Mus musculus: one gene and its partners. The protein of the gene in region 3 purifies or fractionates together with the protein of the main gene of each other region. This does not show direct contact. Links are inferred from orthologs where the notes say so. Each region holds a gene or a part of one and is shown on either strand. Other genes may lie near its edges.

What was found.
Region 1: the proteins of Prkar2b (region 3) and Akap1 purify together in Homo sapiens (affinity purification with mass spectrometry; 3 studies listed by BioGRID and IntAct, counting the BioPlex papers as one, with this or other methods). This does not show direct contact. The link is inferred for Mus musculus from reciprocal best matches to the Homo sapiens genes PRKAR2B and AKAP1.
Region 2: the proteins of Prkar2b (region 3) and Pde4dip purify together in Homo sapiens (affinity purification with mass spectrometry; 4 studies listed by BioGRID and IntAct, counting the BioPlex papers as one, with this or other methods). This does not show direct contact. The link is inferred for Mus musculus from reciprocal best matches to the Homo sapiens genes PRKAR2B and PDE4DIP.

What each region holds. Positions count from the first base shown.
Region 1 is NC_000077.6:88,861,661-88,865,374, forward strand, and holds the start of Akap1 (A-kinase anchor protein 1, mitochondrial), read right to left. Parts: upstream 2,927-3,714; 5' UTR 2,737-2,926; intron 1-2,736.
Region 2 is NC_000069.6:97,886,399-97,890,147, forward strand, and holds the start of Pde4dip (myomegalin), read right to left. Parts: upstream 2,310-3,749; 5' UTR 2,273-2,309; coding exon 2,091-2,272; intron 1-2,090. UniProt on the Homo sapiens protein: Functions as an anchor sequestering components of the cAMP-dependent pathway to Golgi and/or centrosomes.
Region 3 is NC_000078.6:31,963,703-31,967,351, forward strand, and holds part of Prkar2b (cAMP-dependent protein kinase type II-beta regulatory subunit), read right to left. Parts: intron 3,613-3,649; coding exon 3,511-3,612; intron 1,488-3,510; coding exon 1,413-1,487; intron 262-1,412; coding exon 196-261; intron 1-195. UniProt on the Homo sapiens protein: Regulatory subunit of the cAMP-dependent protein kinases involved in cAMP signaling in cells. Type II regulatory chains mediate membrane association by binding to anchoring proteins, including the MAP2 kinase.

The DNA of each region.
Region 1 (3,714 bases), on a different chromosome or scaffold from region 3:
ATGCTAGAGCGACCAAGACATGTTGACCCAGTAGGCTAGGTGGCAAAGCCTGGATACACCAATTTGTCTTCCTTCTAACCAAGTTACTAGGTCAGAGGCTAGGCGAGGGAGTGCTTTTATATCTAATCAAATGACTGAGTCAAACGGATTCCTTGGGAGTGAGGGATACCATACTTAAGTGCCTAGCATAGGCCAGGAATAGTCCCAAGTCTTTTTTTTATTATTACTCCATTTTTTATTAGATATTTTCTTTATTTACATTTCAAATGTCATCCCCTTTCCTAGTTTCCCCTCCGAAAATCCCCTATCCCCTCCCCCTCCCCCTGCTTCCCAACCCACCCACTTCCATTCCTGTCCTGGCATTCCCCTATATTGGGACATAGAGCCTTCCCAGGACCAAGGGCCTCTCCTCCCATTGATGACCGACTAGGCCATCCTCTGCTACAAATAGTCCCAAGTCTTAAATATGATGATCTCCATCCATGTTTAGGATGAGAAGAAGAAAACTGGAAGCTAAAACTACCTTCCACAAACTCTAGCTATGACCAGCCTGGGGCCCAGGTCCACATATAATCTGGGTTACCAGGTAGCAAGACAGATTGTTTTAAAGTATTGATGCTCAGACACATCACTTCCAGCATCTGAGCAGGCAACAGACAACTGATACCTGTATCTCTGCTGTCACCCAGCAGAGGCCAAGGGTGAATGCAATTCCTACAATTAGCTGGGAGATGGGAGAACTCCCCAAGTAGAGGCAAACTCACTAGATTTACATCAGGTCTCACCCACTGGGTTGGATAGCTACTGACCCACTCTACAGAACAAAGCCTTCTGATTTAACAACCTAACCAGAAGCTTTAATGATTTGCATACACCCTTAGGGTAGGAGAATGTCCTCTAACCCAAGGCCATTCTTTCTATTTCACAAGACTACACCCAGGAATTACCCAGAACCTACAAAACAGGTTAGAAGCGAAAGAAGGCTCGACAACAAGTCCAGAAAGCTCCCCAAACATAATCTCACTTGTTCCTTGGGCTCTAAAAGAGTCCTAAATAATCTGAAGGTGAAACACTTAAATGCCAATCAGAGAAGACTCTGGCAGGAGAGCAACTCGTTCACAGAGTTTATAGATGCTTTGTGCCTTTAAGAGAGGAATGGGTAGGAAGCCCGTAGACTCTAAGCCTCGCTTTTCTAAGCCTCGCTTTCTAAAGTTAAGCGTTTAAAACAAAACCAAAAACCCCACGGTTACTAATTTGGGAAGGACTCTGCAGTTAAATGAGCATGTAAGATTGATTTCCCGAAGCAATAGCAATTGTAATTGCAACACACGGATACAGAGGGTGGTAGCACACCAACCGAGATGGTTACATTAGGTCCAGCAACCCTGTTGTCACTGCAGGCGTTAAATTTAAACCCCAAGCAGCCTCGACTTCAATAGCGGAAAGATAGGCAGTTTAAACCTTACTAATTGCCCTACACATACACCCGACCTTACCGGTTTGAGAAGCCTCCACTCTCACCTGGAGCGAAGTCCACCGGGTTTGTGTTAACCACAGCCCAAGGGTGGAAAGGTACTAGTTGCTCGAGGCATTTCCCGGAGGGAAAAGGTCCGGTTAGGCACAGGGCGTCTCAGAGGTCCCTTCTGCACAGCCCCTGACTATCAGCACCTTCCCTCCCGGAGAAAGGAAACAGGAAAAGATAGGACACAGCAGTAGTTGACACCAGAATGTAGGCTCCTTTACGCGTATGGAGGCTTCTCTACGCAGGTTTTTACCTATAACCCTGGCAAAGTCCCCCCATGACCCCTGCAAAGTCCCTCCAGATCACTGTCCTGGGACGGAAAGAAAGGTGGGGCGCGACACGTGACCCTGGACCTCCCCACCCCCGCAAGAAGTCAGCGGGCACCTCTAGCTAGAGGTCTCCCACCTCTTAGGACATGCTTATGGGGCCACAAACTCTAATTCCCTTCGGACACCCAAGCTCACGACCTCCGGATCCTAATTGGTCTTATGGTCTCTCCACCGCCAAAAGGTTTGGGACCTGTCTTGCATCCCATTCTCCCCGCTACAACGGCAGAGTCCGCTCCAATAATTCGCGGCACTGAACTCCAGGAATTGTGTCTTCCTGCTCCGGTTTGCCACCACTGCCGGGCCAACCCAGAGTCAACTGGGCCCAGCAGTTAGAAAGTTAGGAAGGGAAGGGGTCCCCAAGGACCTCCTCTCCCGCCTTGGGCACTGGGTCCTTGGCAGAGACCGCCCCAGTGCCTCCTCTCCACGCGTAAACTGGGTACACACGACCTTTGAAAAGTAAACGCTAGCGAGACTAGACGACCTTGGTTGGGACGCGCTCGGGCAGGCTACCCAGAAGGGTGAGCCAGCATTGGGAAAGTTGAGGCGCACCGGAGCGCCCGGGGAATTGCGCCCTCACCTCCATCCTAGAGGCCAGTGACGTGAGGGGGGATGGGAGGGGAAAGCAGCGGCTTAAAGCAGCGCCCCGAGCTCAGCGCACGCGATCTGTCAGCAGCAGCCCTGGGACCGGGAAAGACCAGCGGGGCGCGCGGGTCATCAAGGCACAGACCCGCCCGCTTGACAGCAGGCGCGGTGCACAAGGCTCTCGGTCCCCGGAGTACCTGGCGCGCGCGTCGCACCCTGCACCTGCACCCCAGGCTCCCCATCACCCCAACTCGTTCTCTCTCCGGGCCCGGCGGGCGGGTGCCCGTGCCAGCCGTCACTTACCTGCTCCTGGGCGACCGTCTAGGCACTCAATCCTCCCGCCACCGCCCCCTGGCCCCCCACCTAGTCCAGCGGCCCTGCCCCGCAGCGCTGCACGGCGCTTCGGCCGCTCCCCCACGTGCTAGCCCAGGCCGGGCGAACACAGAGACATTAAATACTGAGGACGCGCAACGACGTGCCCGCGGCGCGACGCAAGGCCCCGCCCCTCGCCCTCGGCTCCCTGGCGTGCCCCCCTCGCCCGCTCGCTCTCCTGCGCGTGCGCGCCATCGGCCGCTCCCTCCCCCGACTTGCGCGCGCCTCTCTCCCAGCTGCGCCAAGAGGGGCGCGGTCAGGAGCTCTCCGCTGACATCCCGGAGCTGTACGGGCCCGCCTTGCTGGCGCTCTCGCGAGAGTAACAATATTCACGGCGGGCATGGGAGATGGCCCCTACGTCCCACACTCGGGCTGGGGTGGGTTCCTGGTGTCTGAGTGCTCGGCACAATGAACTTGGCTCGCACGGGGTCTCTGCTTCTTCTCCGGGGAGAGGTGTCAGGCAGGTTCCTGCCTTGGGATGGTGCCTCTCCTGGAAAAGGTTGCTGAGGCTGGTGAGGGACGATGCTACATTGTTCCCCTTGCCTAGGAATCTGGCTTTCCCGTAACCTTGCGAGCATAGCATAGCTTTTCGAGTATAATAGGTGGCCATTGGTTGATCAGTAATGTGGATACTGTGTAGCCCTCAAGGGCAAGTTGATTTCTCATTTTCGCAACTTTAGTGATGTCGAAGGGGCTTTTCTCTAAATGATCTGGGGTTTTGCAAAGTTTGCCTTCGAAGAAATGGTCACCATGAGTCACTGCCTCCCCCAACGACTTGAGAAAACCAAACTACCTGCAGATAATTGTATCCGACGGAGGTTCCACTTGCCAACCAGCCCAGCTCTGATCCTTAAAACCTAGGCACTTTCCTTTACTTGCTTATTTATTTTGATATTCTGAGACTGTGTC
Region 2 (3,749 bases), on a different chromosome or scaffold from region 3:
TTTGACACAGTAGCATCCATTAGAACCTTTGACAAGGTAGCATCCATTAGAACCTTTGACACAGTAGCATCCATTAGAACCTTTGACACAGTAGCATCCATTAGAACCTTTGACACAGTAGCATCTATTAGACCTCTGCTCTTACAGCTGCTGTGGAAAGTCTGCTTCCAGCTCCTAGAATGTTTATATTTTGTTTTAGTTCTGTTTTTTTTTTGTTTTGTTTGTTTGTTTGTTTTTTCAGAGACAGAGTCTCTCTGTGAAATAACCCTGCTTGTCTTGGAACTTGCTCTATAGACCAGGCTAGCCTCAAACTCACAGAGATCTGCCTGCCTCTGCCTCCTGAGAGCCAGGCTTAAAGGCATGCACCACCACTGCGCAGCTTTGATTTGGCTTTTTATTGATTTTTATTTGAAATTACAGTTATTTGCTTTTTAGTTAACATAAACAATGATGGGATAATTAGGATTTCTTATTTAATTATTTACGGGATTTGGGGTTTTGTTTTTCGTTTTTGAGACATAATTTTGCCATGTGGCCCAGGCTGGCTCATTACATAGATATGGACAGCAGGGTGCAAGCCTATAATATCAGTTGAGGCAACTGAGGGGGCTGAGGCAGGAAGATCATGAATTTGAGGCTAGCCTGGGCTATGTAAGAAGATCATATTGCAACACCTTACTGCCATAATTTAGAGAAACATATGTTAGTTAGCCCTACGAAATGTCTATTGTCAATGACAGTGAGATAGGTCACCCTCTATGATGAGTGTTTCTTTCCAGATAAAAAGTTCCGCTACTATATAGAGAGCAGGGGAGAAGCTATGAAATTTTAGAAGCATGTGTATGTGAATATACAGATTTATTTTTGGTCAAAGTTCACTCACATTTTTAAAACATAATTACATTTGGGCTAAAGTTTCACTATATATGTATATGGATGTCTCTTGCTTCATCCTTTAATTCCAATAATTTATTATGCATTTCTTAATAGAAACATGATGATCCCTTTAACTACTGTATAATCGAATCTTTGACTACATTTTCTTGCATAAATAGGTGTAGTACAATGAATGAAAGCAATTATGTTTCTTTGAATAGACAGACTCTATTTTCTAGTTCACAGATCCAGCCGACTCCGGAGTATGCAATACAAACCCAGCAACCCTTCCACTCTGAGGTCAAAACTCTTCTAATCCAAACCCCGATCCCATTCATAGGAAACTGAGGCCTAGAAAAGTCCCAGTTAGTTAAAGGCAAAGTAAAGACTTGAACCCACCATTGCCTTTCGATTTGAATGATAAGTACTGGCATTCCACGGGGGGGGGGGGGGGGGGGGGGCAGGGAGGGGGGTACAGAGGGAGGAGCTAAAAATTCTATGTCAAAGACGTGCTTACTTTAAAAATGGCAGCCATACAATCTGTCTCTTCTTTTGGAAATATTAATATGACAGATTTTCATCTTGCTGTTGCTACATGACGAACACGGGACCTAATCTGCCGGGTGTTTTCTAGGCCAGAGTGGAGGAAGGGTCTGGGTTCAGGTGGAGCTAGCGGCCCAGAGCATCCAGCCAACAGGCCCAGGCCGGGCTCCAGTGCTTCAAAGGAAGAAAAGGGCATCACCAATCTCCCTGCTGTTTCCAGCTAAGGCAAATAAATAAATATCCAAGGAAGAAGAGACTAAAAAAGGCAAAGATGAGAGCTCTGCAAATCCCCTAACTAGCCCAGCTCCTGAGTCACCTTTCCTTTGGCTCAGCCCAGCAGGTGTTGCCTCCAGCCTCACCCACATCGGTACAGATCAAGCAAAGACCTTAGGATAGAAACCTGGATTCCCACCATTTCTCCTGTGCATCATCAGCTGCACCTCCCAGCTATGCTCAACCCTGTCCTGTCGATCCTATTCGCTCCTGGGCCCCCCATCTCTAGCGTGCTCGCCAAACCTTCCCCAGTAACCTCCCGTGACAGCATAGATCTCCTGCCAAGCCCCCCAGCCCTGTCTAGCGAACCGTGCACCAGCACCCCTGTACCACAGCACACCAGCACCCAAGCGCCGCAGCTTCCCCTGCTCCCGCGGCAGATGCTGGCCACGTCTTACCTCATCCAGGGTGCCGCCGAGGCTGCCTCCTCCTCCTCTGCCGCCACCGCCCAGCTCCCAGCCCGCTCTGGGGGTCTTCGTTCCCGGCTGGAGGGCTGCCGTGGAGACTGGCGAGGTGCGTGGTGAGCCCAGCACGGCGGCGGCGCGTGGTGGCAGATGGACCCGCTGTCCGTGCGCTTCATGGTTCCGAGGCCTGGGCACTGTGCCCTTGCTATGATCTCTGCGTGGTTTCTTTTGGTTTCACCGGCTGCCCAGGCGCATCCTCCCAGCGTGGAAGAGCATCCAACCCAGATGCTGCGGCTGTGGCTGAGACGCGGCCAGGTTCTGCCTCCCGCGAGGCTGTCTGCCAACTGCTCCGCCCAGGCGCTTTTGGTCCTTCTGCTACACACGTAGCTGCCCTGCATCCTCTAGCATCTCCGCTTCGTTCTCCATCTGTGACCTCAGCCTGGCACTATTGTCATTTCCAGACCTCACTACTGCCTTTTCGTTCTGTGCATTCCAATGTCACCTTCCCCAGTTTCTAAGCTTAAAGAAGTCCCTGACAGGAGAGATGGCTCAGCGGGTAAAGGCATGTGCTGCTAAACCCTATGTTCAATTCTGGGAACCACATGATAGAGTCTGACACCCTCAAGTTGTCCTCCGACCTTTACATGTTCGCTGTGGCACACACACACACACTCACACACTCACGCAGAGAGATAATAAATAGATAAACAAATAATGACTAAATAAACTGTGATGAGTTTTAAAAAGTTCCCCCTGTTCTCAAACCTCTAGATACTTTCCGGGTATGCTCTCTCCCTCCCTAAATTGGCCATCCTTTTATAATTAAACTGTCCCTTTGCTGACTCCTGAGAATTCTACTCCAGCTTGTTGGCTAGCATCTTCTTTGCCCCATCTTCTAGAACCTTGTTTTGTTTGTTTGTTTGTTTGTTTGTTTCAGCATTGTCTTTGGTTATTGGAGGTGGGGAGCACTGTCCTGAAAAGCTGTTACTTTTTTCCAAGTTGAGATTTTCTGATGGTCATTTTCTAAGAACGCTTAACAAACAAACAGTATCCACCATCAGACCAAGTGAGTGCTGTCATTTAAAAACAAACAAAACCACACACACACACACACACACACACACACACACACACACACACACACACACACACACAGAGGTGTGGTGGAGCAGACCTTTAATCCCCGCCCCTGAAGGAAGAGGCAAGTGGATCTCTGTGAGTTCCAGGACAGTCTAGGTTATAAAGCAAATTCCAGGTCGGCCAGGGCTGCATAATGAGACCATGTCTCAAAATGAAAAACGTTACCAAGACAAACTGGTTTATCCTTGTGATCTCAACTATTTGGGAGGCAGAGGCAGGAGGATCAGAAGTTCAAGGCTAGCCTATCTCAATACAAAATGAAATGGGACCAGGAGATAACCCATTGGTAAGCACTTATACCCTGTGTGCAAGGTCTGGGTTCTGTCCCCAGTACTTACAAACACACAACCGATAGGCTGACTAAATCCTCCCTAAGTGGCCATTCCAGCAGCCTGCTTCTTATACTCTACATCTCTCCCCCAAAGAACAGAGATGAGACAGTTTCCAGCAACGCTGACAGCTTCTCCCACACTGTCGTATACAGCACCAGGCCACTAGGCAAGCAAAGTTTGT
Region 3 (3,649 bases):
GTCCATCCTTTCATCTCAGCTTCAAACTTTGTCTCTGTAACTCCTTCCATGGGTGTTTTGTTCCCAATTCTAAGGAGGGGCATAGTGTCCCTAAGGAGCCAACAAGTCAGTTACATTGAAGTCTGAGATCGTTCTTTTTTAAAAAAAAAAATCCATATTTTCCTTGTGGATATGAGGAATTTGGGGGCTGTTTACCTTTCTTTTCATAGTAATTTTCACTTCTCCAGATTCTACAATGAAGAAAGAGTCTGCCAAATCTCCCTATTAAAACAAAAATGCAGGGTGAATGTTCAAGTTCCACAGCATCTCTGAAATCATGCCTTTGAAGCCAGCCTACAGGTTCCAGTCCGTAAAGTGAAGTCATAGACCAGACTACATCCTGAGGTTACGATAATTCTACAGTAACTTCTTAGGCATTCGAAATAATACATTCTCTACCAGAAAATATGGCAAGTAACCTCAAAATTTTGTGCTGAGCAGTTTACAAGAAAGGATAGCAGATGCTGTGTGTCCCAGGAGCCCCTCCCACCAGCAGGCTATGTCAGTCATTCTGTGTTCCCTGCTGTGTGTCCCAGCAGCCCCTCCCACCAGCAGGCTACGTCAGTCATTCCGCAATCCTAGGAAAGTAGCACTGTGTCCACCCAAGGCAACTAGCACTAGCACAGAGACTTGCCAGGAGCAAAAGCAACTGGGAGCTTTCGGAAGCAATAGATGAGCTTTTACGGCCTTCAGGCACCAAGCTGACATGTCAGTCTATGACAGTGTACTTCCGGCTCTGAAAAGACTGCTGGGAACGAAAGGCGCCTTCTCTACGTACACCCCCAGTATTCCTGGTTTTTGCATGAACTCTCGTTAGAAACCCACTCATTCATGCGCACCCTTCAACTGTCTATACAGCCTACTTTCTACGAGCTCTCTGGCTAGCAGGTACTGTAATACAACTGGCGCCCACTGGGAGTTCAGAAAAACATGAGGGTTAGAGGGGATTCTTATTAATGCATTCAGTGCTTGCACATGGTACAATGTGAACTCCTTCTGGTGAGTGTTATCTGGAAGCAGATCTCAAGAGCTAATCACGCAAAACTCATCTGCCTGTGGACCTGGGTTCTTGGTAATTTCATGGAATAGCCCCCACTTTTCCCTCTTACACAAGACATCTTACTCCCACTATACATGCGGATTTCATGTTACAAACTGCAAACTACTCAGCTAGGTAATGGTTTAATGCACAGTCATTAGAAATAAATTATATAAACAAAAACATCCAGATTACTTACCAGCTGCAAAAGCATTTTTGATAAGTTGTCTGGTGGAAGAAATATTCATTTAATCTAATACTGCGTACCAATTATGAAAACAAAGTTGAACCTTCTGGAATGTAAGCCTAAAGGAATGGCAGCTCAGTACCGTACCTGAGCAATGATCTGCTCTCCATCATTGTAAACTTTGGTGCCAATCACATCCACCACCTTCAGGCGTTCAGAAACCTACAAAGAAGAGCACCGTGTTAGAGACTGTGGTGTCTATTTCTGGTTATAGCTTAACTACATCTGGAATTAACTAAAACCCAAGAGGCTGGAAACACCTGGGAGGGATTATTTTCCCTTATGTCACTTGAAATGGGAAAACCCGTTTTTAATCCAGATTTTTAAGGTGGAAGGATGCATCTTTAATCCAGTTTTTGAGCTGGGAAGATCCACCTTTCACCCGGGCCACAGCTTCTGCTGCAGCCTAAATAAAGGGCGTGCAAGAAGGAAGCTCTTGCTCCCTCTGCCTGCTTGCCTTCACTCTCTCACACTAGCAAGTCCATTCCCAGCCTGGCATTAGAGCCTACTTCTTCAGGATTCTAGAGTATACTCAAGACCAGCTGAGATACCCATCCTAGTGGACTATTGGATTCTTGCACTTTCCATTAGGAGACAGGCTTTGTTGGACTTGTGGGAGCACAGCCTATAAGCCACTCTAATAAGTGGCAGGCATGCATGTATGTATGATATAAACTCTGTTCCTCTGGGGAAGCCTGATAATACACCGACCAATCACGTAGCCTTACCTGGTTTACATGTTTACAAGGGACGGCCTACATAGTTAAATAAACCCAACTGTTTTCCCTTGTGTAGTTGCTACATTAACTGCTAGAATCCTGAAGTAGACAAAATCGTATTTCTAGTTTCCTGTAAAATACCAGAAGACTCAGCCAACCCCCAGCCCAAATTTCCATATGGCAGCAGTAAAGCTATGGTGGAATGGCAGCTGTTCCCTTAGAGGGAGCACATGTTCTCCGATTTGCCAAAGTCCCTTCCTGGGTTGCTTTCTGTCACGTCACATGGCTCTATCTGACTGGATTACCTCCCTGATACATTCTATTTGAGGACAGGAGTTTCTAAAGAAGATCAGCTGTCTGCGCATTCCACAACATGGCCAAGTTTCTCCCAGGCATAAACCGGCGACTCACAGAGACACGACCACGCCAACATTTGCTATTTTACGACACCATGGGAACATGTACCTAGTTCTCTATAATCGCTTTCAAGAGAGTTCAAATATGAGGCTTTATCTATTATAAAATGTCTAGAAAAGCACTTTCACAATGAATTTTGGCAGAGCCGAATTTGTAAGGTAACGGTTCTTTCATGAACCTTCAAAGATAAGAAACAGGTGGTCTCACTGAGGAGGCATTTGAGCTAAGAAATGAAGGAGATTCATGGAGAAGCCATGGAGTTGTGGGGGAGGCTGTCCTAGGCAGACAGCACATGCATAGATCTGAAGGGAGGGCTGGCATGCGTATGCAACAGCAGGAAGCTAATGTCTATGGCAGGGTGGAAGTGCAGCAGTTAGCAAAGTTGTCTGAGAGGTACAGACAAGGGACCTCGGTGGCCTTCTTCAAAGTTATCCTGTCCTGGGAAGGTTGTTAGCAAGACTGCCCTGATCTGGAACTTAAAAGGATTCTTCTGTAGGTGGCTGATAAAAGTCATACAGGAGGCAATGAAGATACGGACAGAAGGTGGGGCTGGTGAAGTTAACAAAATGATTGGATGCTGAAGATATTCTGAAGACAGGGTAGAGATGATTTTCGACACATGAGTGCTAGTGGGGAGAAAACCGAGTGGATGCTGACCTGCTTACACTTGTTATCTGATAAACAGCTCCTGTAGACTTGCTATAAAGTCCAAAAAAGAGCCTTATTTCCAAAAAGCAGGATAAAATGTTGTTACATGTAGTAAAAGAAATAGCAGTAAAAATCTTATATCGCCATCTGTTCTTTTCATAGTAAAATATAATATACTTTAAAACTCTTGTTATCGTTATTACCACCTTCATTATCGTTATTTCTTAGGGTACTATAACACACACTCTGTGTGGAGATCAGGAGACATTTCCCACCTTCATATGGGGATTAAACTCAGGTTCCCAGCATGGCTAGCCTCACAAGACGGTCACAAGAACTTTTCAGGACACGAGTGCTTCCTAGCAAAGCAGCCAGCACAGCAGAGTGACAGCTCAGCTCACCTCTAGAGACTTGAGGAACGGCAGGGACTCGATAAAGCTCTCGTACATCTTCCTCTTTTTGGCATTGTTTTTTACAATTATTCTCCTGAAGGTCACCCTGTCCTAAAGAGAGCACAGCAAATACAAACGGAGTTACCGT